Tamandua tetradactyla: one gene and its partners. The main gene of each other region encodes a partner of the protein of the gene in region 3 in a complex. Links are inferred from orthologs where the notes say so. Each region holds a gene or a part of one and is shown on either strand. Other genes may lie near its edges.

What was found.
Region 1: ARMC7 (region 3) and CRIPT share a complex: the UniProt entries of both Homo sapiens proteins name them as parts of the minor spliceosome. The link is inferred for Tamandua tetradactyla from reciprocal best matches to the Homo sapiens genes ARMC7 and CRIPT.
Region 2: ARMC7 (region 3) and RBMX2 share a complex: the UniProt entries of both Homo sapiens proteins name them as parts of the minor spliceosome. The link is inferred for Tamandua tetradactyla from reciprocal best matches to the Homo sapiens genes ARMC7 and RBMX2.
Region 4: ARMC7 (region 3) and SNIP1 share a complex: the UniProt entries of both Homo sapiens proteins name them as parts of the minor spliceosome. The link is inferred for Tamandua tetradactyla from reciprocal best matches to the Homo sapiens genes ARMC7 and SNIP1.

What each region holds. Positions count from the first base shown.
Region 1 is NC_135343.1:18,610,459-18,618,140, forward strand, and holds the start of CRIPT (cysteine-rich PDZ-binding protein), read left to right. Parts: upstream 1-4,632; 5' UTR 4,633-4,753; coding exon 4,754-4,769; intron 4,770-7,682. Other genes in the region: PIGF (GPI ethanolamine phosphate transferase, stabilizing subunit), read right to left, coding at 28-144, 1,168-1,259, 2,473-2,716, 4,411-4,460. UniProt on the Homo sapiens protein: As a component of the minor spliceosome, involved in the splicing of U12-type introns in pre-mRNAs. Involved in the cytoskeletal anchoring of DLG4 in excitatory synapses.
Region 2 is NC_135353.1:33,109,240-33,117,224, forward strand, and holds the start of RBMX2 (RNA-binding motif protein, X-linked 2), read right to left. Parts: upstream 3,033-7,985; 5' UTR 2,960-3,032; coding exon 2,955-2,959; intron 2,749-2,954; coding exon 2,633-2,748; intron 1,266-2,632; coding exon 1,214-1,265; intron 1-1,213. UniProt on the Homo sapiens protein: Involved in pre-mRNA splicing as component of the activated spliceosome. As a component of the minor spliceosome, involved in the splicing of U12-type introns in pre-mRNAs.
Region 3 is NC_135332.1:15,527,466-15,535,211, forward strand, and holds the start of ARMC7 (armadillo repeat-containing protein 7), read left to right. Parts: upstream 1-4,716; 5' UTR 4,717-5,018; coding exon 5,019-5,109; intron 5,110-5,199; coding exon 5,200-5,343; intron 5,344-7,746. Other genes in the region: SLC16A5 (monocarboxylate transporter 6), read left to right, coding at 1-200, 1,415-1,665. UniProt on the Homo sapiens protein: As a component of the minor spliceosome, involved in the splicing of U12-type introns in pre-mRNAs.
Region 4 is NC_135328.1:187,752,451-187,760,488, forward strand, and holds the start of SNIP1 (smad nuclear-interacting protein 1), read left to right. Parts: upstream 1-4,743; 5' UTR 4,744-5,001; intron 5,002-5,753; exon of another isoform or gene 5,754-5,830; 5' UTR 5,831-5,843; coding exon 5,844-6,073; intron 6,074-7,069; coding exon 7,070-7,172; intron 7,173-8,038. Other genes in the region: DNALI1 (axonemal dynein light intermediate polypeptide 1), read right to left, coding at 3,955-4,100, 4,561-4,641. UniProt on the Homo sapiens protein: Required for pre-mRNA splicing as component of the spliceosome. As a component of the minor spliceosome, involved in the splicing of U12-type introns in pre-mRNAs. Down-regulates NF-kappa-B signaling by competing with RELA for CREBBP/EP300 binding.

The DNA of each region.
Region 1 (7,682 bases), on a different chromosome or scaffold from region 3:
TTACTACAATATAAAATTAAAACTTACCCATTCCTACTGAAAACTCTTAGCCATGCTTTGATGTTTGGTCCTAACAAACATAGACAAGGTACAGTAGTAAAAGTAGACAATAAAACTGCAAATAAAAAAGTTTCCAACACCAACCTAGAAAAGAAAACAAAATTTATTTTTATTATTGAAATGCAAAGCCATAGAAAGCAAAAGCTAACAAATATCTGGCTTTAATGACAGATTTCAGACATGTTAAATAGTCTTACTGAGACTGGCCATTTATTGCAAGAAACTTCATCTCTATATAATTAAGTTTCTTCCTCCACAGTCTATGGAATTTACTACATGACAAGTAATTCAATTTCACTTTACATTAGAATCACCCAGAGAGCTGGACACACTAACGAATGGGGAGCCCCACCTCTAGAGTTTCTGTGTGGAACCTGAAAATTTGCAGTTCTACAAAATGTTTTTGCTGCTGGTTCAAGAACAGTAGTTTGAGAACCACTGCTCTAGACATTCACTTTACTCTAAAATGGATTAGACAGGAATCACCACGCCCCATTACAGAGGTTTTGTTGTTTCTTTTCCAGGAAATAGCCTGCTAGTGAGTATATACATAATTGTGTAGAACTATACATATATAAGTATATACACACAAACACACGCGTGTGTATCACATTGATCATTTCATCATGATCATTAATCACAAACTGTAATGAACATTACGTAAGAAATATTCATGAATTTGGTTTACACTAATTTAAAATTAGGAATCTATTGACTTTCCTTAAGAAAACTAATCCTTTTCTGGCACTTGAGTATTATATTTAGCAAGAAGTGATATGCTTAATTATAACTAACTTTTATACATCATTATATTAGGTCTCCTTAGAGGCTCTAAGGGCCACACTTCAATTGTTATAATTACATCACTACCACCTTCCAATCTGTAACTGGGTAACTGAAGAATTGAATGAAATAAGCTATTATTGATTTTTTAAAGAAGGACAACACTGCTAAAGAAGGACAATAATGCTGGACTTGATCCACTAATAAAACACACTATGGTTTTTCTCTATTGCCAACAGAGTTAGCACATTGTTTAACATTAAAATAAAAGTTTTAAAACGGTTTTAAAATATAATTTCCCTACAGTAAAGCGTTCCAACTTACTCTATTAGTGGTGCTCCATATAGAACAAAAATTACATGAAAGGAGAAACATGACATTAGAATGTAGAAACAACATTTCAAAAACCTGGATACCTAAAAAAAGAAATGAATAATTTCAAGACTCAACAGAACACCAAAAATAGAAATTCTAGTATTTTATCTATAAATTATTCTCATAATATATGGAACATTTGAATGTTCTTTGGATTGGGGTTTACTGAAGAGTTAGATTACATATTCTGTGTATAGTTACATATGCAGCATTCAACACAGCATTGTAAAAAAGCCAGAAAGTGAGTTCTTCCCCCTATTTATCCCCCACCCAACACTAGAGCCAAAAAAGGGTTCTCTTTCTGTGGTTTGTGTGCATTTATAAAATATTCATTAGTAACAGAATGCCGGGATATAAGAAAACCAAAATACAGTCATTATAAAGAGTAGCTTAGAAAATAATACACAAAATATTTACAGAATAAAAAGAGCTACAACTTTTTTTTATTAAAAAAAGAATTTCTAGGGAAACTGAATCAAAAAAGCAAAATACTAACACTAATCATATTCACATTACTATATAACCCATAGTCAAAAAGACCTGCATGTTTGCAAATTAACCTGGGGAAATACACATTAAGCTTTTTTCAACATAGGGCAGTAAAGGTGTTTTAAGATATTTAACAGAGAGCTTAAACATACTATTGAATAACGTTAACTGAGGACTTTATTAATTTAAAATAACAGTCAACATGTTACACAGGAATGAATTAACCAAGATTCCAGAAAATAGATTATCTGAAAACTGTACTGCTTAGTCAAGGACGGTTGTTTAAAACAACGGAGCTACCATTGAAGCTCCGTTGAGTGTACATATATATATATATATATATATATATATATATATATATATATATATATGCTTTTAAGAATTTTAAGTCCATTTATTAACAATGTATCCCTTTGATAAGATTATGCTTCAGGAGGGTTTTAATGCCCTGGAAGCTTATTTTTACAATTCCTGAAAAAGCCCGTTAGGTATCTTTTGGAAATGGAAAAATATATTAAAATAAACTGTAATGAAATAAATTTTAAAGAAACAATTGCCACATGTATTTATCTTCACTGGGACATAAAACAATGATTCTTACTTATTGCTTTTAGCAGTATATAAGTTACTCATTTGAAAAAAAGAACATCATATTCCTTTTACTCACTGTAAATAAACCAATGAGAATTGGACTAATACTTTATTCTTTCTTTAACAGAAATACCAGCCGCATCCAAAAATTAGCTATCAAGAAACAAGCCTTACCTTGTGTGTTAATGAACTTCTTTTGGAAGATGCATTTGGTTTTACTGTTAAGTATAATACTAGATTGATGGCAGTTACAAAAGCAGAACAGATGCACAACCATGTCAAGTGTGTTTCCAATACTGAGAAGTTCTCCAAGAAAAATGATGGAATGAAGATGCTTAAGATAACTGAAAATATGCACAGAAGATGGACATACAAAAGTCTCTTGATATCAGTTTCTTTCATGGTGTTTCTTGGGTGCCTATCTAATGAAAAAAAATTAAATTAATGAAAGAGCATGTGCAATAATGCATTTTTCCATTGTTCCACCCCCTACAAACAAGCCATGAACTAAAGTAAATTTTCTGTGGACAATAAAGGATTTGTTTCAGAATACAGAAAGGTTTGTAAATACACTAGATTTAACATTATATTTTACCTTAGATTTTCTTGATATGGTACCCACCCTTCTACCCAAAGAGTTCTCAAGAGCCTATAAAGGATGAATTTACTAATTTCTTAAATATCTGTGATTGATGTTTGCAAATGGCCATGTACTGGGGCCAATTAAGCAATTCATTTCAGTTCTTTTGCCAAAATCTGAGATCAAAACTGCATGGATTAAATTATCTGCCAGTATTAGAAATAAAACCTATACATACTAGAAACTCCATGAAGCACTCTGGCCAAGTTGCTGATTTTTTTTTTGTTTGTTTAACCACTGTGGACCTTTGTCCAACATGATGGTACTTCATTTCTTCTAGCAAGTGCCAAAAGACACCAAGTACACATTAGAATACTTAAACGGTGGCCAGTGCAATCAAGAGAGTTCAAAGACTGTTATGCTAAACTAATAGATCCCAGCTCCAGAAATACCAAAATGACAACGTTTCTTTTATGGATATTTAAAGAATGATGTTATAGGTTCTAGATTCCAATCACAAGTTGAAGGTATATGGAAGGAAAAAAATTTACTCAAGACACACCTATATACACACAGACAGAACTGTGAGAGAGCAAAAGGGTGACCTGAGGACTTATCTAAGAGCTTTACACAGGCTCTCATATAGTCCTCATAACAATGCTCAAAGGCAAATATACTGTTGATAAGGAAACAGGCCAACTTATGTTAAGAGACACCCAAAGTCACAAGCTCCGTGCTTAAGTCATTCCAAAACCTAGCTTCTCTTTCTCTCTATCACACCAAGAGCTGGGAAGAGAACGGACGTCAACGGGAATCAAGGGAAGGGTCTTTCGCAGGTTCTACCCTAAGCTAATGAACGGAGAAGGAACATATTCTCTCAACAGTACCCCTTCGAACACCATCATTTTGGGCCATCCTCAGCATCCCAACGTCAGAAGATTTGGATCTAATCAGCGAGCAGTACACAAACTAAAATGTTTGCTGAGTGAATGAACGAGAGTGGAAAAAGTGTTTTCCTAGATTTTAAACGAGGGGGTGGGTCCTCCTGAGAAACTAAGGACCCAGCGTGCCCGTAAGAACATCTGACAAGCGCCCCACCCGGAGGCCACCGCCCCGGCCCAGATGGACAGGCATCATTACAGCGCGAAAAGGCCCCTTGGGTCTGCTCCCAGACGAGCCTACATGAAACTCGCCGGACCTTCACCTGCAGCCCCACCCCAAACCAGCTCGCTCGGGACCTGCCCAAGCCTCAGGTGGCGGGAGGGTGAGCCGGGAGAAAAGCACTGAGAGGAATAATCAAGAAGCACAGGTGACGGAGACAAGGGAAAACTGATGTAGTGAGATAGAAAGTCGGATCCGAAAGATCCGTCCATTAGGGATGTCCCCGGGTCACGCCCGAGGGGTGGCGCTGGAGCGGAGGGTGGGCGCGGGAGGGCCGGGGTGCACAGAAGCTCGCGCCCATTTCGGCAGTTGGCTCGGGCTGTTTGCACCCCGGGAGGCAAGCGTGTCGGAAAGCGTCCGGCTGGGCTTACCTAACTCTCCAGCCCGCGGAAGGCAAGGAGAGGATACTGCCTCCCACCATCAGGTTAGACTCTCGGTCCTGACCCTCGGCGCAGGCTCAGAGTTGCGTGGGCGGCGACCCAAGGTTGCACAGCCAATCGCAAAAGTGCAGAGGCGGGCAAATAAATTAGCCCCGCCCCCTCGGTCGCCTTTATTCCTCCCGCTTTATTTCCCAGGTATAGCATAGGAGGGAGCGTAGGGTTTAGTGGCCGGAAGTGGTTTGACGTAACCCGGAAAGGAATCCTTCCCCGGCTGTAGTGTTTATATTTTCAAGTTGCTACAGTTCCTTCCGCTAAGAGGAGCGTCGGCAAGAGAATGGTGTGCGAGAAATGTGAGTTAAAGGGACCCGTATACGGAAGATGGAGGCCAGGAGAACCTAACTGAACTTCCTTTAGACCTGTGCCCTTTCTTTGTATTTCCTTCTACCACAGGTTTCTGATTCGAGCTTATTTCTTCCTTCCCTGTCCCTTGACCATTCTTACCTCTCCTTCAGCGACCCATATCGTCCTATTTATTTTCCCTCCAGAATGGTCTCAGTTCTGCTCTTCCCTGTCCATTTCCGTTGCCTCCCCCCAGCTGTGGGTCTCACCGCAAACCCCAGCTTCTTGACTGGCTTTCTCGCCTCACAGACTATCAGAGTTGGAATGGATCTTATAAATCGCTCCTAGAACAACTAAATTTAGCCAATAAAAACACAAGACGCCCAGTTAAATTTGAATTTCGTATAAGTAATAATGTAAGTATTATTGGCCACGTTTGGTGCCCCGTACTACTGTAAATGTTTTGTCCCATGCGAAATTTAGGACGTGCTTTATTAAACCCTTATTCGTTGTTTATCTGAAATTCAAATTTAACTGAACATCCTATATTTTATCTAGAAGCCCCGACTCAGCATCCCGTCTAATGTCTTAAACACTCCTTGCATGAATACTTACGGAATTGAGACTGGGTCTTGGGACCCTCCTCAAAACAGTATATATAGACGTCTTTCACTTTTAGGAAAATCTATCCTGTTATAATTGCCACCCAGTGATTCTAATCCAAATGAGCTTGCCAGAAAACATCTCATGGCTTTTTGATTTCACGGTTCTTTTTATTTTTTAAAACCGCTGCCATATTCTCAAGTCTTCCTTTTCTCAGGCTAAACATATCTGTCTCTTTATCTTTCTTCCTGTGACATGGTTGCAAGTCTCTTATCATTCTGGTTACTGTCTAGTAAACATAATCCATTTTCTTTGTAAAGCTTTGGAGACAGACATCCATGGGTTTAAATCCCAGTTCTTAATGTTAGGTAAAAGAATAGGAATGGATGAGTTATTTAATATTTCTTGACTCCAGTTAACTCTTTTAGAAAAATGAGAATAATACATAATTCATAAAGTTTTGTGAGAATTAAATGAGATAATGTAGTAGTGCTTGGTATAAAAATGCCTGGGTGTGGACATAAAATTGGTAATTTCCATTATGCACCACCACCCTTCCCTCCTTTCACCCCAATGTGTGGGACTCAGAATTGAACTCTACTCTTTTCTGCGTGGGGCTGAGTAGAACTAATACATTTCTTTTCTCGATACTGTACTTTATACCAATATTGTCTCACAGTAAACTTAAAAAAGGAGCAACAACAACCAATTTGTCGAGATATATATCACATATTATAAAATTCACCCAATTAAGATATGTGATTATGTTTTTTGTGTTTTCAGAGTCGTACACGGTCCGTCACCACAATCCGTTACCACAAAAAGCATGTTAAGTCTTCCCCATCTTGCATTTAAGCAGTTTTTTGGTTTTGTTTGTTTTTTGAGTGAACGTGTTGGAAACGTTTTTAGATTATGTACCTGCCCTACAGTCTTTCATCTTGTGTTGTGAAGTTCTTACATGTGTAGGTTAGTCCTTCCATGTAATTTGTGTTAATTTTGTACATTTTAACTTTTTAGAGAATAAGAATTCTACCTGGTTTCACTTGTTGCATGTAAATGCCTCTTACGCTGTAAGTGCTTTGTCCCAGGGAAATTGAGGCTATTGGATAAATTATGAGAGTTAATTTCTCAAGGTTCATTATAATTTGGGCTCTAAGATCTGCTGTGGTCTTAAAATAAAATACCTGTTTGGTCTGCAATAAGATGTGTGTCATAAAGGTCATTCTCTCTTTAGTATTATTTTTTACTTCTCTGCTCTTCTGTAAGCCTGGCTCTTCATTGTTACTTTGGTCCAATACCTTTCAACCTCCTGTCATCTTGTTCCTCCAATAAAATATACCCTCTTTCTTATATTATTTTGTATCTCCTGTCTATCAGTTTATTCCACTTACCTTATAAATAAGCTCAGATCTCTCTTGTACATAAAGCCACACTCTCAAGCAACCTTTACTGTAATTTTTAAAAAATACTTTCTTTGTTGCCTCCAAATTTTCACAATTGCTTCTTACCACCTTACCCTACAAACTGACTTTCACTTTAGCACACTACTGGAAGAACTTTTCGAAGTTTGCTGGTGATCTCTTAGTCATCAAGTTCAAAGATCTTCTTTCCATCCTCCTCTATTCCTCTATAGCTTTGATATGTTGCCAGGCTTTTTGAATTTACTTCTTCCTAAGCTTCTTTACCATTATGCTTGCCATGTTTTCATATTTCTCCTTTCTCCCTTAAAGTAGTTGTTTCCCCATATCTGACTCTGACCTTTTCTTCACTCGTTTTTTACTTTTTTCTTTGAGAGTTTTTTCATTCATGTAACATACTTATGCAGATGAATATCTAATCTACATCTCCAGCCTTGATTTCTCTCCTACATAAGCACCAGTTGAGCATTTTTTCCCAGACAATACTGAGAAGATTGACCTGGTTGTTATATGGTAGTTTAATACTTGCAGGATTGAATTCATCATCATAGTTTACAAATTTGTACCTTTTCTCCACCATTTAATGACTCAATCCTACCAGTCACCCATTCATGAAGCCTTAATTGACTCATATCCATTCTCCCATCCCTCTGTAAACCTATAGTCAAATGTGTTGCCATGTTCTGTTTATTTTACTTCCATTCTATACTTCAGATTTTCCCTAGCCTCCCATTTCCCACTCCAGTACCTTAGTGAGAATCCAGTGTTTTTTTTTCTTTCTATTTTTTGGCATGTGCAGGCTCCAGAAACGAACCCAGGTCTCCCACAAGATCCTGATCATTTGACTTAAACTAATATGATCCAATATAGAAACATCAGCTCTCTTCCCCCTCAAACTGCTCT
Region 2 (7,985 bases), on a different chromosome or scaffold from region 3:
GAATAGAGAATGAGAATAAGCATACACACTGGCTGATCACCACTCAATTCAAGATGAAAGTCTGATGTACTACCACACAAAGAGGTAGAAATTATAGGCTGCACCTGCCATGAACTTCCCGAAGCCCCAAAGCTGAAGAAAGCAGCCTCAGTCCTAGCCAGGGCTCTCTGCCTATGTAGGCTGCCCAGGCCCCCTGGCATGGTCTTTATCTCATGTGCACTGCCCAATCCTTTCCCATGGCCTTCTGCCCTATATTGCCACCCAATGATCTGGCCAAAGCCTGCTGCCCCATAAGTTGCCCAACTGCTCTGCCATGGACCTCTGCCTAAGGGACAGCCCAACTGTCCTGATACGGCAATTCCTCCACCAGGTTATGCTGCCTGTGTTTGCTTGCTCAGCCCCTTTTGCCAAGGTCCTCCGTCATGTCGTCCAACCTCTCTGCAAAGGCTCTTAGCCCCAGAGGGCTACACAATCCACAGGCCGTGGGTCTCTGCTTCTGTGAGCTGCAAAGGCTCTCTGGCCCTGTGGACTGTCTAACCACTCTCTTTAGCTCTGGGTTTGTGTGTGAGCTGCCCAACCCTTTCATACTCACTGACACTACTAGTGTGAGCTGCACACACCCTCTCCCACAGTTGCTGCTGCTACCATCTCATAGCAAAATGAAGAATATAAGGTTCTCCTATTCATTCTTTCTCTCATCAGCCTGTGGGTAAAGAGATCAGCTTTGTTCCTTAACCCTACACTCGTCTAGAAACAAAGAAAGCAAACCACCATCTAAACCTTTCACATTTTCCCCCAATTCCTCCATGCTTTGCTCCTAATCCTACAATGCCACACGAGTGTGGGCCCGGAAGGGCCCTGTGATCATGGATTATCCCCAATTTACAGGATGCCAAGGAGATGGGTCCAACATGGTATCTTCCTGGCAGTTCCAGTCTATTCCAGTGTAGGCCCAGGCTGAACACACCTCAGTGAAAAAGCGATAGAAATTTACTGTAATTCCCCAAGATAGCCCCCCAAATTATTCAACCACTAACATCATCTACAGGGGAGAATCCTAAAATCAAATGTCCTGGGACTGCTCTAGACTAGAGCAAAAGCCCTAGTGCTCCCCACTAAAATTCAAATAAATGGCTTTTGTGATGCCATAAAATGTATTATGGAAGCAAACTACTCTGTCCACCCAGGAAGCAAAAAATTTAAGGGAACTTACTGTGAGAACACACAGATGATGTCTCCTTCAGTCAGTTCATAAGGAAGTCCTCCTAGAAGAGGAAACCACATTTCAGTTCAACAGACATTTCTCAAATGTGTACTACAGACCCTGCACTAGGTCAGACATTAAGGGTGTAAAGAAGTGCTTTGAAATTTATAGCTTTTTTATATACATGTTATTTTTTACAAAAAAAAAGAAGGAAAAAAAAGTCAATTGTGATGATAAAAAAAAAATATTTAAGCCCTCTAGCCTCCTGTATTCTGGAGCAGCTAGAAGGAAAAATATGAGAGGATCATATGGTAGTCCATGACAAACTCTGGGATCTGTCCTGTAACTACTTGTTGAAGAGTGCTTTGAAAACTATTGCTTTTTTATTTCTTTGCTTTGTATATGTGTTATACTATACAATAAAAAAGTTAAAAATAATAAAAAAAAAAAGGGTGTAAAGAAGAGTGAGCCACAGGCTCTGCCTTCGAAGAACTCACGGTCTGATACAATGACAGAGGTATACTTAAGGTGCAGAAGTAGTACAGAAAATAGAGTGATTAGCTCTGTGTGCAAAGACCAGGGTCATCATTAACCAAGCTAAACTGATCACTCAGTCCTCCTCACACGCAAAATCGTAGACAAAGCAGATAGTTTACAGCACAAAACTCTGCTTCCACAAACATATCTTGGATTCATCTGCTCTTTACCCACAAATTTATAGCTAAAATCTATAATCCAGTCAATGTTAATATTAATCCCACCCACACAGACTAAGGATTAGAAAAACAACCGTCAACCATTTCATAGGAAACAAATTTCACTTCAAATGTTGCTTTCTTTATCTGTGAAATGGGGATATTAGTACTTACCTCATGAACTTGTTATAAGAATTAAATAAAACAATGCACATAGAGTGCTTAGCACAATCCCTGGTGCAATAAATAATCTCTCTGAACAAAGTACAGAATTATCGGTTACAACACAAGTGAATATAAGGGATGGCAATACGGCCATGGACAGAAGGCAGCAGCTAATCAGATGAGTAGAATAAAATCTAAGGAGTGGGGTTAGTAGTAATATAGGATAGTAGCTAAGTTTAAGACTTTTGAGTTTCAGAATTCCATAGTTTCGATTTACTAGCTATGTTGTTTAAAATTTTTCGGTTAACTTCTTTGCGCCTCAGTTTCAACAGTATATGGGGGGGTGGGGGGATCTCAAGAAGTCCCGTACAAGGTTTTTAGCACAGAGAACAGATAACAGGAATAGTAACTCCCGTGAGTATCGAGGAAAAAAAGGTATGGAAAACGGGTTTAAGGGTGGATAGCAGATGGATAAAAGCGGGTGATGGATGTGGAGAGGAGCAGAGCGAAGGCGTTAGGAAACCGGCCAGAAGCTGAGGAACACAGGGGAGAAGGATGTGGCCCGTACCTAGGAAGATCCATGCGCTGTCCTTGTACTCGGAGTGCCAGGACACGTTATCCGCCACCCCAAGCTGGACCTCCCGCTCATTCAGTTCGTTGATTAACTTCACCTTGGTTAAGGCGCTGCGGGGGGGGCGGGGGGGGGGAGTGCGGAAAAGGAGACAAGTAAGTGCGGCCCAGCCTAAGGGAAGGCAAAACTAGGGCACTAGACTCTCCAGTTACCACGCCTCTCCCTCTCCTTGGAACCGCAGACGCTCGACCGCCCCAGCCCTCGAAGGCCACCCACGGAAGTCCGATCCCGCTTCCTCAGAAGGAAGGTACCGCCTTACTTCATCTCCGCGGCTCGGAGCTTACAACCTGGGCGTTAGCGTCCGGGCGAAGCTGCAAGGCGCATGCGCAGTCCCGGCGCCGCAGCCCATTGGAGTCGGCGGAGCGTGCGGCGGAAGAGGGCGCGCCGACGTGCAGCGCCTGCGCACAAGCGTGGAAAAGGTTTCCTTCGCTCGGTGTCCCTGTCTCTTCTAGTAAGAGAAAAGAAAGTTTTTTCTAGTCCCTCCTCCTTCCCTCAGTGAAATGAGACAAGGGTGTGAGTCTGGTCTATTACAGGGTCCCCAGCTCCTGGATCATACCTCGCACTGGTTGGGTTGGTCTTAAATGTTTACTGAATGAAGAAGATGCCTGATGTGGCGACTTTTGTCCCACTCCAGGTTCGCCTTCCGAGGTCCCGCTCGGGTCCTCACTCCCAGGAGTCACACCCACATACTCATCATGTTTAGAAGTTATGGCACAAAAATGTAGGATATATGTGAGTGAGTAAATCTTTTGTCGTCCCTCAAATCCCAATACATAAGCAACCGACTGTGCTAAATTGAATATCCCAAATTTGTGAGAGCTGCTACGCTCATCCTTTTCCATGGCCTCTTCTACTTAAGCCAAATTAATAGCTAACATTTGAGCAGATAATGTGATAACCAATGCCAGGTTATGTGCTAAGCAATTAACATGTATTGTCTGTCAATTCTCACAACAACCCCATGAAGTAGATACAATTACCATCTCCATTTTATAGATGAAGAAACCGAGGTTCAAAGGAATTAGCTTGAAAGAGACTCCGACTCTGCCCATCCGGTCAGGTTGACTTAATCAGTCCTTGCCTATCACCTTTATCTGTCCTGTACAACTAGAACCTGTAGCTAGGAGTTATGAGGCTAGCCCTATTGCCCCCAAGGAGCTAATAATGTAATTGAGGTGATAAGATATATTTGCCTAATAGAGGTCATTCCAGAAATATCTAGGACCCAGTAGAAGGGATGGTGGTATATAAACCATGAAGGTTTGAATCCATCTTGCATGTCTCCAAATCAGTGACTGGTCTTGAACCATGATGTTTTAAAAGTGAAGATCCAGAGCTATGTAGTTTTCTGTGTAAGCCTAGCTCTGAGCCACAGAAATTAGGCCCTTTATAAAAACATTTTATCGATGATGATGATTTTGAGAACTCTACCCTCAAGTGGTTCACCATGTACACATTTACTGCCAAGCAACAGAACAGAGGCTGCCTACTTATGATAGTGTCTACTCATTCATTCTGTGTCTATCTCCACTCAGCTATTCATTAACTTTGTAGGATTACCTTGGCAATGAAAACTAAACAATGACAGATTGCATGTGGGTTTTATCTGCTCCTGGAAATCTCAGGTTGCTTAGTTGTAGTGTTGAAGTAGCCGCTGCAAAGTGGTAAGCTAGCATGCAGCATTATCTGGTTGGCTTCTTAAAGTAACTATGAATTGAGAATGCTGGGGGTACACCTGGGGCTCACTCATCCACATTTAAAAAGAAGCTGGAACCCAAGAGTAGGGTTGAGACCAACCAAAGGGAAGAACAATTAAGATTGAGGAGAACATAAGAAGACTGTTGCTCTTGAGGTGGTGGATTCAGCAGTGTGTTCTGAAGCTGGGAGAGCTGATAACCATCCTGGTTTGCCCAGGAGTGAGGACTTTCAGTGGTAAAATTTGAAAATCCAGAGCACATTGGGAGGGTTGATCACCCGAGGAGAGCCTGAAATAGGTAAAAAAGCCGTGTTAGATTCTCCATGGATATGCTTCCAGTTAGTAGAAAATATTGTAAAATAATGCCTGGAGATTTCCATAAGTCAGAGATAAAAGGGGGCAGAGGTCCAGAGGAGGACACAAGGAGGACCAGGGTTTGCCATCCAAGGTTGCGATTGGTGATCTCCACCAATAACATTCATGTAACACCTATTGTATGCAGAGCTCAGATCTAGGTTTGGCAGGCAATGCTAAGAAAGCAAAAGGCAGGACTAAACAAATGCAAGGAAGGACTAAACAATTTGGCTAGCCAAAGTTATCTCTCCACTTCCCCAAATCACACCACACTCAGAAGCAGCTTTTCCTCCTGACTTCCATAGTTTGGGCAACACTAACATCATTTTTATCAAAACCATGGGTGTCACGTTTCAGCATTCACTTTTTCTCACCCCGAGAAAACCATCCAATTATTCACCAAGTCCTAAAAATTGTACCACTGCAGTATCTATAAAATGCATCATTTCCAGTTATCATCTTACTCGAAGTCATTATCACATACCTCCTAGCTCTTTATTTTTAGCTATCAAAATCTGCATTTTACTAAAAATAATATCTTAAAAAATGTTTACTTATACACTAATAAAGTATCAGTGTCTGAGAGAGTTCAAATAAAGTTAAGAGGCTACTCTGGAAGTTAGACATTGTTACCTATTATTTAGACCTTGCTACCTATCATAACTTCCCAACCAAAACCATTCCCAGCCAATCCTAAAGAACACCTAGGGCAATATATAAGATTCTACAAAGGTTGCATGCACTAGGGTAACTTTCCAGAACCCTACAACCTCCAGATTGGTCCCTGGACAAGATAAGTCCTGAAACCTAGAGGGCCCAGCCTCTCCAGAACAACAGCTAGTTCCATCTCCCTACCCCATATTATTGACAGCCCCTTCCAACATGAAAAAGTTAGAATAGGCAAAGCCCAAATACCCCTAAAGAGTGGGATAGAAAGATCAAAGGTGATAGTGGAGAAGGTAGGGTTTAACAAACAAATTTGATCGCTGAATCATTCTATTGATATTTCCTTTAGTCTCCAATATCTTAGAGCAGCAAAAAATAAAAACCTAAAATTGTGGAATTGTAACCCATACCAAACTCTGAAATGTGTTCTACATCTAATTGTTGTGTTGTGCTTTGAAATTTATTGCTTTTTTGTATATAAGTTATTTTTTACAAAAAACAAGTCAATTGTGATGATAAAAAAAAATATGTATTCCTTCTAGCCTCCTATATTCTGGAGCAGCTAAAAAGAAAAATCTGAGAGGATGGCATGATAGCCCATGACAAACTCTTGGATCTGTCCTCTAACTACCTGTTGAAAAGTGCTTTGAAAACTATTGCTTTTTTTCTTTTTTTGCTTTGTATATATGTCGTATTATACAATAAAAAAAGTTTAAAAAATGTTTTTCTCATACAATATATGCAATACATGCTGTTTTCCATCCATTTGAGTTCTTCAGCTGGCATCAAACTCTTAGTCTCTGCCATCTCTGAACAGAGGCAGTTGCAGTCTCTGAAATCTCAAAGATCTTCACAGTCTCATCCCAGTCCTGGTAAATCAAAGCTATAATTCCTTGATTCCTAATCTGGGTGTTTTGGTCAATTCCCTCACTTTCTTCATTAATATTAACAGGCTCTATTATTGGGGCAGTCAGTCTTGGTTAAGTCTTATCTTGCAAAACCATCCCTTAGAATGAAAGCAATATGAAAGATGTTTTCTGCTGTACAGGAAATGAATGTGGATCAACCACAAAGTCAAAGAATGCCATAGTTGTATCAGGATCTTCTCAAAAATAGGTTTGCAAAAATCCCAAGATTCTTTCCACTTCTTTATTCTATGCTTCTTGATGAGATTGGTGTATCAGGATCTTCTCGAAAATAGGTTTGCAACAATCTCAAGATTCTTTCCACTTCTTTTTCTGTTGCTTCTTGATGAGATTTTTCCATTCTTTTTAACTGGGCTGGCAATGCTCTCTTTCTCTTCTATCATGCAAACTTTCTTTGGATAATAGATGTTTGCCTTTGGTACAGGTAGCTCTCCTTGTTTTGAACCCAACAGAAAGTGGAATATACAGGTTTTATTAAAGGTGTTTTCTGCTGTTTTGCCTGATATTTTCTAGGAGTCATAGACTATGAGTTCAAAATCAGAACTATCTTCATCACGGATGAGTTCTTCAGCTTCTAGCAGATTTACACCCATTTGTGCCAATGGAGTTCAGCATATCTTAACATATCAAAGGAATTGAGATCAGAGCGCAGCTACGTTGCTTTCTCTTTTCCCAAATCTGAAGCCAAAAGAAGAAGCATCTGGAACTGCTTCTCTTGCACAGGATACTCCATTAAACAGAGTGTTGGCCTCTTCAAGGACCTCTGTTAGTTTGTCACTGGCATTTTTTTTTTTTTTGGATGGAGTTGATGAGCATCTGGTACTGATAGCAGATCTGGCAGCACAGGCCATGGTCAGTCTGTACCTCCAAGCTGGCTGGGTCCACCCTTTCATCCCCCAAATCCAACAGTTCTGCTTTCTCCAAACTCAGGCACTCCTGGGCCTTCCTGCGCTCCAGCACCACACTACAGCAGGACCTGGTAACAGCAACAAGCAGCAAGTAGCTGTAGGAGTGGCTGCAATCCCTGTGCAGGTCCAGCCCAGTCCTTGGCCCCTCCGAGCTCTTTAAATACTCTTATACTCCCCCCAGCTCCTATTCTCCAGTCCTTTCTCTCTCTGCTCCCACGCCAGGCTTCACATCTATAGATCTACTCAAGGAGTGCCTTTCATTTCTCAAGTTAGACACTGTTGGTTTTCAGAAAGAAAATTCTAAAAGCAAAAGGAACTCTTGATGCAGAGCCCCCCTCAGCCCCACTCCTCAGCATCCTTGGCAGGTCCAAGGATCCAGATATAAACATGTTACAAGCCCCCATCCAATCAGGAAACAACAGAACCCTCCCCTCCTGGCATCACTGTCCCTTTAAAATCCAGCTCCCAGAACAAAGGGCTGGAGCCATTTTCGCTTTCTTCCTGCTGGCACCCCAGGCGGGAGCCAATTTCAGGCTTCTACCTGCTTTCTCCCTTTTTCTCTCCCACCTACTTCCTCCCTGCTTTATTCCTTCAATAAATCTGTTAATCTTTAACTCGGTGTCTCCTGTGGAATCCTTAAATCACTCCATGCCTAACGTCTGGTGCCAGAACCCGGGAATGGAATTTAGCCTGAGGTTTGAGTTTCTGGCCTCTCTGGGCTGTGGGAGCAGCCTCCCAGT
Region 3 (7,746 bases):
CAACCTGCTGTGCACGGTGTCGGCCGACTTCTGGCTGCTGGTGGGCTACTGCCTGGTATACAGCGTGTCCATGAGCTGCATCGGCGCCCTCATCTTCCAGGTCCTCATGGACACTGTCCCCATGGACCGGTTCTCCAGTGCCCTGGGCCTCTTCACCATCCTGGAGAGCATTTCCATCCTCATCTCCCCGCCGATAGCCGGTGAGGCCCTGGGAAGGGAGGGTAGCCCTGATGGTGGAGGTGGGACAAGGGATGGGGACAGGGCACAGCCTGGACAGACTGGGGGCTCCTCTGGCACCTGCAGGGGCAGGAGCTTGGGGTCTGTCTTTCCCAGCACCCCAAGGGACCACACTGCAGCCTCTGCCCCAGTCAGTGTTTGGGGTGTGGGTGCCAGACCTACCAGGGTCCTTCATCTTCCTCTATGTGCCTCAGTTTCCTTATCAGGAAAGTGGGGGGTAATAATAGCATCTTAAACTCATCAGCTTGTTGTAAGGATTAGGAGTTACAAAGAGCTCAGCAGAGACCCTGGCACATAGTAAGTGGCACTGTGTAGGTGCTTGCTACGATTGACATCCTAATATTTGGAGGTTATAGTCACATATTCACATAGGTTCTCCTACTTCCTGCCTGTGGGGACCTAGGCAAGTTATTTTCCTTCTCTGAGCCACAATGTGGTCTGCACAATGTTGAAAAGAATGCCTGTCACCTATCAGGAATTCACCTGTGCCAGTCCCTAGGTGGGTGTGGCTGAATACCAAGACCCGGCCCCTCCACCCTTGGGCTTCCCTTCTGGAGGAGGGGTCAGGAATTAAAGAACCTGTCTGTAATTACGATGGTGATTTGTACAGAACATGGCGATAGGGATCCACATGAGAGGACCTAGGTGTGGGCTGCAGCTGAGAGCTTCATTCAGAGTAAATGAGAAAAGGTTTGTAAAGCGCTTGGTGCCAGGATGCAGGCAACAGACAGCATGTCGGGGCGGTTAATACAGTAAGACCCAGCAGGTCGACTCCAGTCCAGTGGGAGAGCCTTCCCCCAAGTTCTCCAAGCAAAGCACACAGGAGGAAGTCTGGGCAGAACCTGGGAGGTGGCTGTGCAAACATCCCAGTCTCCACTAGTCCAGTCTTCTTGGTTCCCAGCCACCAAGGGTGAGAAGTCACCCCTTAAGTTGCCCTCTGGCCAAAATTTTTTGAGAATTCTCCCTGCCCCAGGCCAAAGTAGATAAAGCATTTCCTCCCCTCCTTTCATCCAACAATGATCTTTATCAAGTACCTTCCAGGTGCCAGCTATGCCTCCTGGCACTGTGGACAAAGAGAAACAAAAATAAAGTCCCTGTTTGTGGTGAGCATAGTATGGTGGGGAGGGGAGTATCCAGGAGCCCTGGGCAGTGGCCTGACTTGCTCTCTGTCCCCCAGGATTCCTGCTGGATGCCACCAACAACAACTTCAGCTATGTTTTTTACATGTCGAGCTTCATCCTCATCTCGGCTGCCCTCTTCATGGGCGGCAGCTTCTGTGCCCTGCAGAGGAAGGAGAGGCAGGGCAGGCAGGCTGAGAAGGAAGGAGCCATCATGGAGGCTGCCCCGGAGCAGGAACTTTTCCTGGAGGGCACAGATGGTCCTGGCAAGCGGCCGTGCCCCGAGATCATGTATGTGACCACTGTCTGAGCCCTGAGGTTAGTGAGTGACCACTGTCTCAGCCCAGGAATGGCACGTCAGTTGCTTCACCAGAGGCTGTGGCCAAGGGCTGCCCCAGGGAGCTTGGAACAGGTTTCACAAATGAGACCTGGCCAGGAGCTGGGACCTTGGATGCTGCCCTCCGAAGGCTCAGAGGTATTTCCAACCAGCAGAATCCAGGAGTGGATTCTTCTGACTTTTTCCCTTGGGTTCCACCAACCGGGGGCCCAGGAAGGCTTGGGTCTGACATAGCTGACTCTGCTCAGCTGGCCACCCATGACTACTCCCACAACTCAGCACAATGAACTTTCCAGTCCAAACTGCATGCCTTCAGCGTGATCACACTTTGTCTTCGAGACAATTCCAAAGAGCTCATCCCTCTTTCAGGGCCCTCCTGCCGTCCTCCTTCCCAAGTGACCCAGCCCCTGCCCTTGGCAGCCACAGCTGGCCCAGGCTGCCCCCACCACAGGTTGCCTCACACTGACTGGAAGTCTGGGATGAAGGGACCCATGAGAGACTGTGATGTGGCCTGCGGGCTGGAGGGCCAGGCTGAGGAGTTGGCCTGGACACAGGATTTGACAGATTAAACGTTGGGTGGTGTCCCCATCCTGGTGTCTGTGCAGAGATGTGGAGGGGAGCCCCTGGTGAAGCCTAAGGGGACTTCCTCCTCATTTAGCAGGGTCTGCTCTAGGGTCTCCTTCCCTCCTTTGCACCCCCACCCTGTAGTCTTGGCATAGAACATCAGGCCTGGTATGGGAGGAAGTCAGGCGGTCAGTTGTCCAGGGGAGAAGAAGACTGGCTAACTAATGTCCAGGGACCTTTGTGAAAATAGGGCTGCTTTTGTGAAGGAAGCCCTTGCACTTCCCTCTCCTGCCCTCCCAAGCCCCCTTCACCCTGCTATGTCAAGGCGTCAGCTGAGGGTAAGGAGTTGGCTGGGCCGGCTGCCAGTCCACTCCTGGGCCCTGGAGACCAGAGCTTCCCTCTGCACTTGGCCGGTGCCCTTCCCTGAGGTCACCCCAAGGCCCTCCAGGGACTGGCTGTCATCAGCTCAGACTTGTCCCAGCAGGATACCCACCTAGGGGGGGGGATGAAAAACAGGGTCTGTTTGAATTACATACAAAAACACTCCCTGCAGCGGATTATGAATCACTGGAGATTATGAATCCAGTGAACTCTTAAGAGAACAGGCCTAGAGGACATTCCCTCCTCTCCACTTGGCAGGGGCTTTGCAAGGCTTCTCAAAACCTTGTTGATTCAGGCTCAGCCAGGCTCGGACAAGAAAACCTTATCAGGCCAAGGAGAATTGATTTCATTTTCATAACCTGACCCCAGCCTTCCTCCCCACTGATCCAGCGGGTGTGAATAAGCATCCTTGGGGATGTCCTCCCGACTCCCCCAGGAGCCTGTCACGAGTGCCCCCTATTAGTCAGTCGTGGTAGTGCAGGGGCAAGGCAAGAGTACTGGGCTGGGACGGAGACCAGAGTTGATGTTGAACTCAGAAACAACTTGCTGTAACTTTAGGCAAATTGTTCCCCATCTCTGGGCCTTTAAAAAGGAGCTTGGCCTGGATGAGCATGCTCTGAAGGAGTAGAAAAGAGGGCAGTTGGGGGCTGGTAGGTAGATTAGTACTTTGATATGTTGTGTCTCCCCATATAGGCCCATTTCCTGAAAACAAATTTATTTTAAGGAAAAAAAAATTGAATATTCAACATAGAGTACTTTGACCCTGACCTCATTTCCCCCCAGGCAAAAGTGGCAATAAACCCTGGGCAGAATCCCTTCAACAAAAAATTTTATTGAGACCTTAAAGACCTGGTCGCTGCCTTCAGAACAAAACAAAGGACTAAGAATTCTTTCCCAAGGAGAAGGATCCCTGAGGGTTTGGGAGGGAATAAAGCCAAACACTTGAGGGATGGTGGGGTGGCCCATCTAATTCTAGAACCCAAATTTAGCTGATTAGCCTGGGACTAGTCTAGAGGACCTGGGGCAACTCCTGCCTCCAGGCCTTTGCTGTTCAATCCAGGCAGAGAGCTACATGTCTCCCAGCTTTGGACTGTGATGCATGTCCCTGTGCCACTTCAGCTCCTCACAGAAGCCAAAGACCTGGGGAGGGGGCTGGGGCCACCACCCTCTCCAACAGTTTGGGTACCCTGAGCTCCGACTACTGTTAAAACCGCTCCAGAGGGTGTGTGCAGAACAGGGCTGACCACAGGGACCTAGTAGGTCTGCAGAAAGTAGGGGCCTGCTCCCAAGGGAGCTGCTGCTGGCTGGACTGTTGTCACTGTCCAGCCTCTGGATGTCACACGGTCCTCACCCTCAAGAAGCTCACGGCCTAAGCCCACTTCCCCCCCACATTTTCAAGCACAATGGGAGTGGTGGTGTTACCTCTTTCCCTGATGCTCCAGTCCCGGGCACCCACGAGGTCCGTTACATACCTCCTTTCTGGGAGGTCCTGAGAAGGAACTGGGCCGGAGGACTTCGGCACCCAGGACCCCACAACCCAGAAAGCCGCCAGTGGGACACATGGGTAAACCCAGGTTCCTTCTAGGGCTCACCGATGCTGTCCCAGGCGCCCCCGCCTGCCTTGCTAACAATGAGCCATGGGATAGTCTCCAACCCGCGTGATTGATGGCCAGAGGTGGGGAGGAGGGGGCGTCGGACTCGCCCAACTTTTTGGAAAAGCCGCCCCAATTGTAAAGTCATAGGACCGACACGGGGAACGGGGAGCTGACGCAAGAGCTACGCAGGAGCGTCCCTGGGCCGAGGAGGCCAAGTTGCGACCCCCGCCAAGTATGTGGAGGTCTGGAGGTGCCTCTGCCTCGACGAGCCCCCACAGCGGTGCCTCTGATTCCCCAGAGGCGCTCCTTAACGCCACCCCCGACCCTCCCACCAACCTGAGGCCCATTCTCTGCTCGCGGTCGGACTGGTGCCACAAAGTACACCCCGAGTAACGCGAGGGAAGCCACGCCCCTTTCCCCGCCCCTTCCGCCCTGCGGGGTGGGAACTAGCACAACTTCCGCCGGAGGCCGGAACCCCGCGGAGAGCAGAGCGTTGGAGTCGGGGATGCGGATGCTGGTCCCTCCCCTTCCGCTTTAAGTGGCAGGGACACCCGGGTCTCCAGTTCCCCAATTTTGACTTAGCGTCCCGAGACCCCATCCCACCCCCACATCCCAGTCTAAGCCTCAAGTTACAGCACAACCTGAACCCAGGAAAAGAACCCGTTTCCCGTCCCGGCCCCGGCTTCTCCGACGGGTGGTCGGTCCGGTGAGGTCCACGTCTGGCTGCCCGGCTTCGCCTCCCACGCCCTCCCCGCCCGGGCCCCGGGGCCCTCCGCCGCGGCGACGATGGCCCAGAAGCCGAAGGTAGACCCTCATGTCGGGCGGCTGGGATACCTGCAGGCGTTGGTCACGGAATTCCAGGAGACGGAGAGCCAGGGTGAGAGCCGCGAGTGGGAGCCAGGGGCCGGGGTGGAGGTGCGGCCGCGGCCGCCGGGGACCTGCCTCCAGCGCCGCTTTCCCGTTGCAGACGCCAAGGAGCAAGTCCTGGCCAACCTCGCCAACTTCGCCTATGACCCCAACAACTACGGGTATCTGCGGCAGCTGCAGGTCCTGGATTTGTTCCTTGATTCGCTGTCAGAGGAGAATGAGACCCTGGTGGAGTTTGCCATCGGTAAGGATGGGGTCGCCTTCTCCCCCCACCCCCACGAGCCCAACCTTCCCCTTGCACTGCCTGGGAGGCTGGAGTGAGATCAGTGAGAAGTGAGTTCTTCGGAAGGGAGTCTTAAGCAGCCCCTCGGCTGTAAAGGCAGATCTTTGCGATGTCTGTTATGCCTCCTCGGTTGTCCAAGGTCACAGGTAGTTTGAGACAAGCCTGTAACTTCACACCCAGGACCCTCTCTCTCCTGCTTAGAGGCGAGATCACAAATGAGGGAATGGATTGAAGCTATTTTGAGATTACTCTGTCTTTAATGTTTTAATTTCAAAAAACATAAGGATGACTTGGGCTCTCTAGCTTATAGCTCCTGAAGTTGTTATGGTCTTACGACCTATTGAATGTATGTTTATTGGGTCTGTCCTGACAGCAAGGTGCTGTTCTAAGAGGAGATGTCAAACAAGTTGGGAAAATGTGTTTGTCCTCAGGGGGCTTACATTCCAGTAAAGAGAGAATTGGTGAACAAGCAAACAAAAAAGGTGATACTGTGAACCGAATTGCCAGGGGTAAGATAAATCAATAACAGTTGGGGGCTACTTCCATTTTGGCCATCAGAGGAAGGGCGTATAGGCTGAGGCATGGCATGGACAAAGACCTGAAAGCAGGAAGGAGCCAGAGGAAGGTTAGTGTGGCAGGGCTGTGGCAAGTAAAGGGGAGAGTGGTATAAAAGGAGGTCAGAGGGTTTGGCAGTGCCAGAGCTTACAGGGCCTTGGGTCAAGGCTATGTGGAAAGAGCTTGGAATTTATTCTGAGAGCAAACAAAAATTATTTTTTCATTATACATCTTTAAAAAAAAAACATATCTCTATTTAAAAATAACAGTCCTCTAAGTGACAGGAGTTTTATTTACATAGGCAAAAGAAACTTTTAATAATAATTCCTAATATTTACCCGGTATGCACATCTCTTCAGTAGTCCCCAAAGGGACATTTTGTTGTTGTCGTTGGTTAGGATAAGCCAGGATCCAGTCCAAGATCCTTGAGTTTCCTCTGGTTGTTAAATGGTCCCTTAAATCTCTCTTTCTCTGTTTTTAATCAACATTTTAAGTTTAGAACAGTTTTAGAAAAATTGCAAACATAATACAGAGTTCCCATATACCTGGGTTCCCCTGTTTAGCGTCTGACATTACTGTGATACATTTGTTGCAGTCAGTGAACCAACAGTGATATATTATTAAATTAAAATTTGTACTTTATGCAAATTTCCTTTCTGTTCCTGGATCCCATCCAGAATCCCACATTACATTTATGTTTTTTTTTTTATTAAATTTTTTCTCTTTTACAGAATCTTTATTACGAATGGTCAGTGTTAAAAGTGTGAAATGTATAGAAGCCATTGCTTGTGAAGTCATTTGCGTGCTCTAGTTGTAGAGATGCAACATCAAGTTCATTGCTACATATGAGTACAGATTTTCTTCCTGGGCTATGTGATTTGGAGTTTGCTCTCTTTATCAGAGTCATAAAAGTTAAATCATACTCTGTCTTTCCTTTTATGTCTGGCTTATTTCACTCAGCATTATATCCTCTAGGTTCATCCATGTTGTCAGTGCTTCAGGACGTCATTTCATCTTACCGCTGCATATAGTATTCCATCGCGTATATATACCACATTTTGTTTATCTGCTCTTCAGCTAATGGACATTTGGATTGTTCCATCTTTTGGCGGTTATGAATAGTGGGTGCAAATGTCTGTTCATATCACTGTTCTCAGCTCTTCTGGGTATATACCCAGTATTGGTGTTGCCAGGTCATAGGGCACTTGATATTTAGTTTTATAAAAACTGCCAGACTGTCTACCACAGCTGCTGAACGATTGGTTATACATTTCTACCAGCAGTGCCTAAGTGTTCTGGTTTTTCTACATTCTCCTGTTTGTTTAATAGCAGCCATTCTTATAAGTATGAAATAATATCTCAGTATAGTTTTGATTTGCATTTGCATTATAGCTAATGAAGATGATATGCTTTTTGACCATTTGTTTTTGCCCTTTGGAAAAATGTCTATTCATATCTTTTGGCCATTTTATAACTGGATTGATTGTTCTTTAGTTGTTGAGTTGTATAATTTCTTTATGTACACAGGATAGCAAACCTTTATCCGATATATGGTTGCCAAATATTTTCTCCTGTTGAGTTGGCTGCCTCTTCATCTTTTTGACAAACTCGGCTGCCTCTCCATCTTTTGACAAACTCCTTTAAGGCACAGAAGCTTTTGATTTTAAGAAGTTCTTATTTACCTATTTTTTCTTTCGTAGCTTGTGCTTTAAGTGTAAAGTTCAAGAAGTTACCTCTTATTACTAGGTCTTGAAGATGTTTCCCTATATTTTCTTCTAGGAGTTCTATGGTACTGGCTCTTACACTTAG
Region 4 (8,038 bases), on a different chromosome or scaffold from region 3:
ACATTAAAACTCCTCTCCCTGACAGATATGTTGATAACAAATCTCCAGATCCCTGTGTCATGTGAAACTCAATTCACGTACTCTGTGAAATGCCCTTGTCCTAAACCCTTATAAGCTGCTCCTTGCATTTCCACCCTTGCAGTGTGCTACTTTCATTTTTACCATATGGCCACCACTGGAGACCCGCTCCTGTTTGCAAGTCCTAATGAAACTCATGTCCGACTCTGTACCTAGTGTGTTTGGAGCTTGGGGCTGCATTGACTCAAGACCTTCAAGAGTTGAGTTGGAACAGGAGGCGTAGGTGAGTACTTAGGAGGTGTGTGCCTGCACAGGCCCCCCATAATGAACCTGGCAAGGCCAGGTACTGGAATCGCAAGGAAGCAGCCTGAGGGGAGAGGTCATTGGGGAGAGGACTTCTATACCATTGATGGGAGGAAAGCAACTGAAACATTTGCTCCCTTCCTTTGACCTCCACCTGTGAAGAGGTCATGGTCTTTTTTACTGTCTCCCTTCTCATCACAGCCTTCAAAACTGTATTACATTACATTACATTACATTACATTACATACAAACTGCATTACATTAAAAATAGTTGAGAAGGCATAGCTTTTGAAGATCTGGTTCAGTTGGTTCAGATGGCTTGACTACCCCACCCTGTTAGTTCCCACTTACGCTGGCTTGATTCTGGGGGTGCCCTTGGCTGCCTGGAGATCAGTCTCATTGGGAAGCTAAGACTGGTCAGTAGTGGCCTGGACACCTTGCTGACATCTGATGAGCCAGAGAAGCTCTCACGAGCATGGGCCAACTGAGCTTTCCAAATTTAGGTGGCTCTTGCATCAATATTGGCCAAAGCCTTGTCACCTTCCCCCTGAACTCAACTGGCATTCTTGTCTCCAGCCGCTCAACACCACACAACAGTGACTTTTCTAAAGCACAAAGTTGATGGTGACTCTGCCTTGATAAAAATCTCTTCAGGGGTTCCCTATTGCCACAGCAGCAGCTCTCACACTTATGACTGCACTCAACGTAAAAATGGATGTTAACATCATGATTCCATATACATACAAGTGCACGTCCACAGAGATGCACACACACACATAACGGATACAGGTTTCATGAAATGAAATTTACCCTGATGACATGAGATGTAATCTGTTATTTTCTGTTCTATTCTATCCTATCGTTTCCTGTTCCAGTTTTTAAATGCTGGGACTAGCCTCTACCTTAATTTCATTGAATAAATGGGTTGTGGTCCAGTTTGAGAAACTCTGGACTACAGACACCCTTCACAATCCAAGTCCATGCTTGTCTACTCAGTCTCCATGTGGTCACGCCCCTCATTCTCCCTATTTGCCTTGCATGTGCTGGTTCCCCTACCTGGAGCGCTCTCCCCATCTCATTTGCCTGATAAACTCCTTTCCCTACTTCGAAAATCAGCTCCTAGGAAAGATCCCTCAGCAAGCGGAGTAGATGAACTCTCTGTGTCATAACAGACTAATGGATGGTTCCATTAGACTCCTGTCAAGCTCTCCCATAGGACGCTGTGATGGATTCAATCATGTCCCCACAAAGTCATGTTCAAGTTGCAACTCCTAGTCCTGTTGGCATGGACTCGTTTGCAAACATGATCTTCAAAGATCCTATTTAGATGTGGTCAAATTGAACCAGAGTGGGCCTAAATCTAGTATGACTGTAGTCCTTATAAAAAGGAAATTTGGACACACAAGTACAAGCCATAGGAGAAGACAGAAAGAGACAGATCGGCATGTAATAGAGGCAGAGAATGACTGCTGGCTAGTGAGCCAGCGCCAGAATGCTATAGACTTTGGAGAAGGCAAGTCCTGATAATACCTTAATTTTGGCCTTCTAGTCTCTCCACTGTGAGCCAGTAGTGTCCTGTTGTTTAAGCCAAACAGTTTGCGGTATTTTGTTATAGGAGCAATGCCAACTAAAACAGACCTTTACTTCTTTGTGTGTCCTTTTAAACTCTAAGCTCCTTGACTGTAGGTTTTTGTTTAAATTAGAATTTCATCTCTGTATCCTCAGATACAGACATTATGTCTGGCTTATGGTAAATAATCAGTAACTAGTGTGCTGAACTGAGAGAGGAAATAGGACATTCAAATTCCCAAACTAGAACACTTCACCTGCAATGCCAGCAGCCCACTGTGGGGATCCTAAATCTGTATGTCTCAAAAGGGTTCATGTAGGCTTTCAGATATGCCTCACGGGAGATAGTCTATCATGGTGGAAAGGTATATGGATTTTGAATTCAAAGATATCAGGAGTCCAGCTCTGCTTCTTTCGTCTATGGACATAATATTGGTGTTCACTGATATCCAGTTCTCCTCTTTTTCCAGGCCCAAAGTCTACTTCCTCCTTGAGACAGGGCTATGTGATTTGATTTGGCAGCCCAATGTGAAACAGAAGTGCCACATGTTCCTTTTGAGTGGAAGCATTTAATTGCTGGGGCTCAACTTTATACCTTCCTCTCTCAATTCTTAGCGATAATGGAAAAGCTCTGAGAGCATGTGGACACCTGACCAGGCAAGTACCTTGTAAACCTAACTTCCGTAAGTGTCAAACTTTTCCTGAAACTTCTAAAACAATCCAGAGATGCTTTATCTATATGCGATTTGCTGAGGTTCCATCTCTTTCAAGCCAAAGATAAGTATTTTTGGAGGAAACACCTTCAAGGAAATGATTCTTACGATTTGACATGACTTGCCTTCTGGTGTGATGAGCACCCCGTTTGTTCTTTCCTTCAACAAATATTTTGGAATGCACAGGGGAGAGAGCAAAGCCTCTGATCTTGAGGAGTTTATATGCGAGTAGTGGGAAAAGGAGGCACAGACCATGAACCAATAGTTATGTCTGGTGGTGATAAATGTTGCAGAAGAATTAGGTGGAGTAAAGGGATCATGTTGGAGAGTGGGTGCTCTCTTATAAAATGCTCAAGGAAACATTCCTTGAGGAAATGACATCTGAGCAAGACCAGGGTGAAAAAATGGGATGTTGGGAGAAGAACATCTTCAGTAGTAGGAACAGCAACTGCCAAGGCCTTGATGTGGGAGAGAGACTGTGGTGTTTTAGAAATAGCAAGTGGAGGCTATGTGGCTTTGGCACAGCAAATAAGGAGAGTAACAGCAGATAAGACAATGGACATGGTGTAGACCAGACAGATCATGCCAGGCCTTTCAGGCCATGGTAAGGGTTTCAGATTGTAGCAGGCACGAGATGGGAGGCCATTAGAAACTTCTGGGAAAAGACTGGCATGACCTGATTTATGGTTTAGGGGCTGTGTTGGGAACAGATTGTAGGGACAAAGAGTAAAAGTGGTTTCTAACTTTGAGGCCGCAGCAGAAGTGCCAATGCTAAAGAATGACTTGGAACGAGATGCTGGAGGCAGGGGTGGTGAAAAGGGATCAGATTTGGGACATAATTTGAAGGTAGAGCCAACAGGGTTTGATGAAGGATCAGACATGTGATATGAGAGACTAAAGGCAATGAAAGATGGCCTGAGCACCTAGTAAAAGACAGCTACCACTTACTGAGAAGATGAAGACAGTATGAGCAGGTTGGGGGAAGAAGAAAACGTGACTTAGTTTGGATATTTTGAGTTCGAGATGCATATTAGACATCTTTGGAAGTAGAATATATGGGTCTGGAGTTTAAAGAAGCTGAAAGGGCTGGAAATAAGCGTTTGGGAGTCATTGGCATATGGATAGTATTTAAAGCCATGAGATTGGATGAGAGCATTCAGGAAATGAGAGTAGATAGAGAAGCCATCTCCTCCCCATCCTCCCAGGAATCAGGTATCTGCAAACTCTAGCAATTCTAGGATACTGGGGGGAAACTCAAGCTAGGAATAGAGGCAGGGGTCTTTTCCATATTCCCAAGTCCTGGGATGCAAAAGCCTGGGCTTTCTCCCAGGTACTGCTCCTGCTTTTTTACCTTGGCGGCAGAATGGCATTCAAGATTTCTTCTGCCTGCTTTGTAGGGTCTGGGACAGAGGAAGTTGAGGGAAGTTTGGTCTTTGGTGGCTGTGGGACTGGACCCGAGGGTCCAGGCTGCTGGGGGCTGACTTTCAGTGGCCGAGCCTGAAAAGATAGACAGGCTCGGGTAAGAGGCACTCAGCTCCACACATACTGGCCCCCTGGATGGCCTCCTGTCTCCTGCACATCCCTCCCCTATTCCTGGCTCACGTTTACCTTCTGTCTTCTCAGCAGAAATTGACTCAAAGTCAAAGGAGGCCATCAAGAGCCTCTGGTCCCACTCCAACCATTTTTGGCAAGGGTGCTCGGGGCTTTGCTTTCACATCTCGAGCAATGGAGAAATCACTACCTGATTTATTATTGAACGCGGCTACCAAAAAAAAAAGATTAAGTCTGATCCTAAATCTGCTTTCCGGAGGCACATCCAATATCTGGCCTTCTTGTGCTGCTTTTCCACCCTCCTTCCCCTGCAGCCTCTCTCCCTCGGTTTTCCAGACCCTCAACGAGATGTGTCTTCCTCCATCGGAACGTCCCGGCTCCCCGGACCCCCGAGAGCCGTCCTTACTTTGGGGCTCCGTTTCTCCGTATTCCGGCTCACTAGCACCGGGGTATCGTACTTGAGCAGTGAGTCTGCGGGAGGAATCATGGCGACACAAGGGGTAGTAACCCAGCAGCCACCCCTCTAGTCTAGGCCTGTTTGCCGTAACCATGGAAACCCCCTTTCCAAGCCTCATTGCCTGGGCGGGGCTTCGGTGTGGGGCGGGGCCAGAGGCGAGCGAATCTCATTCTCTTGCCCTGTGTTTGCGGAAAGTTCTCCTTCAGCTAAGCTTTCCCGACTTCTTGCCCGCCAGCCCGCCCGCTTGCCCCTGGGCTTTTGGAAGCAGGATAAGCTTGAGTTCGAGTCTCTAAACTCCGTTAAACTGCGTTTGAATGAGGGATCAGGCCACCTGTAAAATGGGAGTTATCTCCCAGTGAAGGATTGATTGAGGAAGGTTCCCGTTGGAAGGTATGTGGAGTTCCCAAACTTCTAATTTTTTAAAAAAGTATTTTTTTTATCAAATGGAGAAATTACAACATAACAGAGTTCAGAAAATAGGAAAAAAGCATTATTGATTTTCCAAAATCCACCATCTATGATTGCATTTCCTCCTTTCCTTTTCTTCATGTGTTTCTGAACGTAAATGAAATCAGAATTTGGACCCAATTTTGTATTGTACTTTTTCTGTTTAAGTCAGCGCTTTTTCCATTCGCCATAGTTTGTAAAGAGCATTGCCTTGGCGACATAACATTCCATCAATGGGCTAGGCAATTACCTACTGCTAGGCATTTAAGTTGTTTCAGTGTTTTGTAATTACTAATGACGTGACAAGCCCTTGAGAGTATGTAGCTTTTTCCAAGTTGCTTTTTTCCCCTGATAATGTGGTTTAATTGCAGTTTTTCCAAAAGTATCTCCTTTCCCAGTTAAAAAAATATATACAGATATGTTAAAGCCTGCCCCTGCCCCCTCAATGGGCGGTGAGCACAGTTCTCAGGGAGGGCAGCCACGCCTCTCCCGGGGCCTCCCAGGACAGTCCCTGTGTGGGAGCAGGGGACGCGTCCTCGCTGACCTACAGCCCGGATCCCGTTCCCTTTCCAAGCTGCTTTTGAAACTTGAAATTCCCGCCTCCGGAACTAGTGCACTACGGCCCCGCCCACTACGGGGTCGTGGTCACGTGTTTGGAGTCTCCGCCGCTAGGGTTTCTGGGAGAGCGCTCACCCCGGAAGGGGAAAGCCAGGGGCCAAATCCGTCATTTCCTTCATCAAGCCGAGCTCCAGCGATCTCTTCTTTCCCTCAGCGTAGGTCGCGGAATGAAGGAGGTAAAGAATGAGCGGGAGCGGGGCAGCCGGCGAAGGCACCGGGATGGAGATGTGGTGGTGGTGGCGGCGGCAGCGGTGGTGGTGAAGCAGGAGCGCCTCAGCCCGGAAGCAGCGCCTCCAGCTCACCGCCGACCCGAGTCGTCTGGCGGAAGCCCGTCCCTGCCTGCCGGCGAGCCGAGTCGCCCGGGTCACCACGGAAACCGAGTCCGAGGAGGCAGCCGGTAAGTGGAGAGAGGCCCGAGATGGATCTTGGGTTGGTTTCGTTGAGAAGAGAGGGCAGGGCTGGCATCAGAAATAACGAATGCTGGGCTCGGCAGCTTGGACATAATCCTGGAGGCGAAGAAAGTGACTCAGTCAGCCTTGAGTTAAACGTTTACGCCTGCATCTGCCACCTGATTTATAGCTGGGCCTTTAGCGCCTAATGCGCAGGATTCCATCTCTTCATCTTGATGTTTCCAGCACCCAGCAGAGTATGGTCCAGAAGATAGCATTAATAGTTTCTAAACTTGAAAGATCTATTAAATTGAGAGGTTTTCCCTGTCTGCCCGTCAAGCCAGGGCGGGTGTTCTTCCAATTCTTTGCGCCAAAAGGTTCCCACATTGAGGGCCCAGGAGATCTACCTGATGGAAACTCTGAAGAAAAAAAAAAAGATTTGTGAGACTCAATGATTTATTCACTCATTCAACATATATTTTTATTGAGCACCTAGACTTATACCAAGTACGAGGCCTCAAGGATGAATAAGACAGTCTTTATCTTTGATGGAATAGATGTTCTCTATCCTTGGCATAAACAAAAAGCAAATAAATGAAATAGTTTTAATTAGTAACAAATATTAAGGATAAGTTCAAATAGTAATGTGATAGTGAGGAATTGGAGGGCAGAAGGAGGCCTCTCTGAACGGGGGGCCTGAATGATGAGAATGATCGAGCCTTGTTAAGATAACAGGCAGGGGAAACAACAGTGCAAAGAACCAGAAGTGGAATTTAATGTTATATTTTCTAAGGGAAAAGTCCTGGTAGGCAATTATATAGGTGGGTCTGGAACTCAAGGAAGACCTTAGGGATAGGAAAGTGAGACTCCTGACTCCTTTTCTGTGATTAGCAGAGACCTTCACAGGTGTGTTTCTGTTAGTAGATAAGCCTGATACTTGAAGTTGATTTACATGGTGGAAGGGACGTTGAGATAAAATCTTGTATGTACCATGCTCTGAAAAGGTCCCCAGCCAAAAAGAAGAGCAAGTCCTCAGGGAGAAGAGGCAAGTCTCCTCGGAATAAGAGAAGCCGAAGTCCTCACCATTCCACAGTCAAAGTGAAGCAGGTAAGTTGAAGTGCGTGCTTTGACTTTAGGTCCAAAGGTATAGCTTTTTCCTATCATTGATAAAGAAGGTGTTTTCATCTGTACCAGAAAAGGGCTTTGCTTTTTTTTAAAATTAAGTTTATTTTGAGATATTTGTTGATTCGTATGAAGTTGTAAGAAATAAAACGGGGAATTATTCCTTTACCTGGTTTCCCCCGTAGTATATCTTGCAGAAATATAGTATAGTATCACAATCAGAATATTGACATTGATAGAGTCATAAAGCAGCATTTCCATCACCACAGAATCTCTTTTATATATTTTTATACAAATATAAATGCACGCACACACATACCTCTTATAAACACACACACTTTCCTCCCACCCTTACCCCTTCTTAACCCTTGGCAACTGCTATCGCTGACATCTACTGATTTTTCCTCCATTTCTGTAATTTTATCATTTCAAGAATGTTACATAAATGGAATCACACAGTATGTAACCTTTTGGGGTTAGCTGTTGCCACTCAGAAGAATTTTTGGAGATCTATTCATCTAGCAATAGTTCATTCCTTTTTCTTGCTAATATTCCATGGTGTGGATTTACCACAGTTTAACCATTCACCTATTAAAGAACATCTGGGTTATTTTTCTTCATGGCTTTTGCCCATTTTCTAATTAAACTGTTTGTCTTTTTACTGTTATAAGAGATTTTTGTATAGTCTAGATACTAGCCCTTTGTTAGGAATTTGGTTTGCATGTATTTTCTCCCAGTCTTTAGCTTGTGTTTTCATTTACTTGCTAGGATTTTTTTATAGTAAAAGTTTTTAATTTTTAAGTCCAGCTTATTCATTTTTAATTGAGTTTTTGGTGTCATGTGTAAGAACT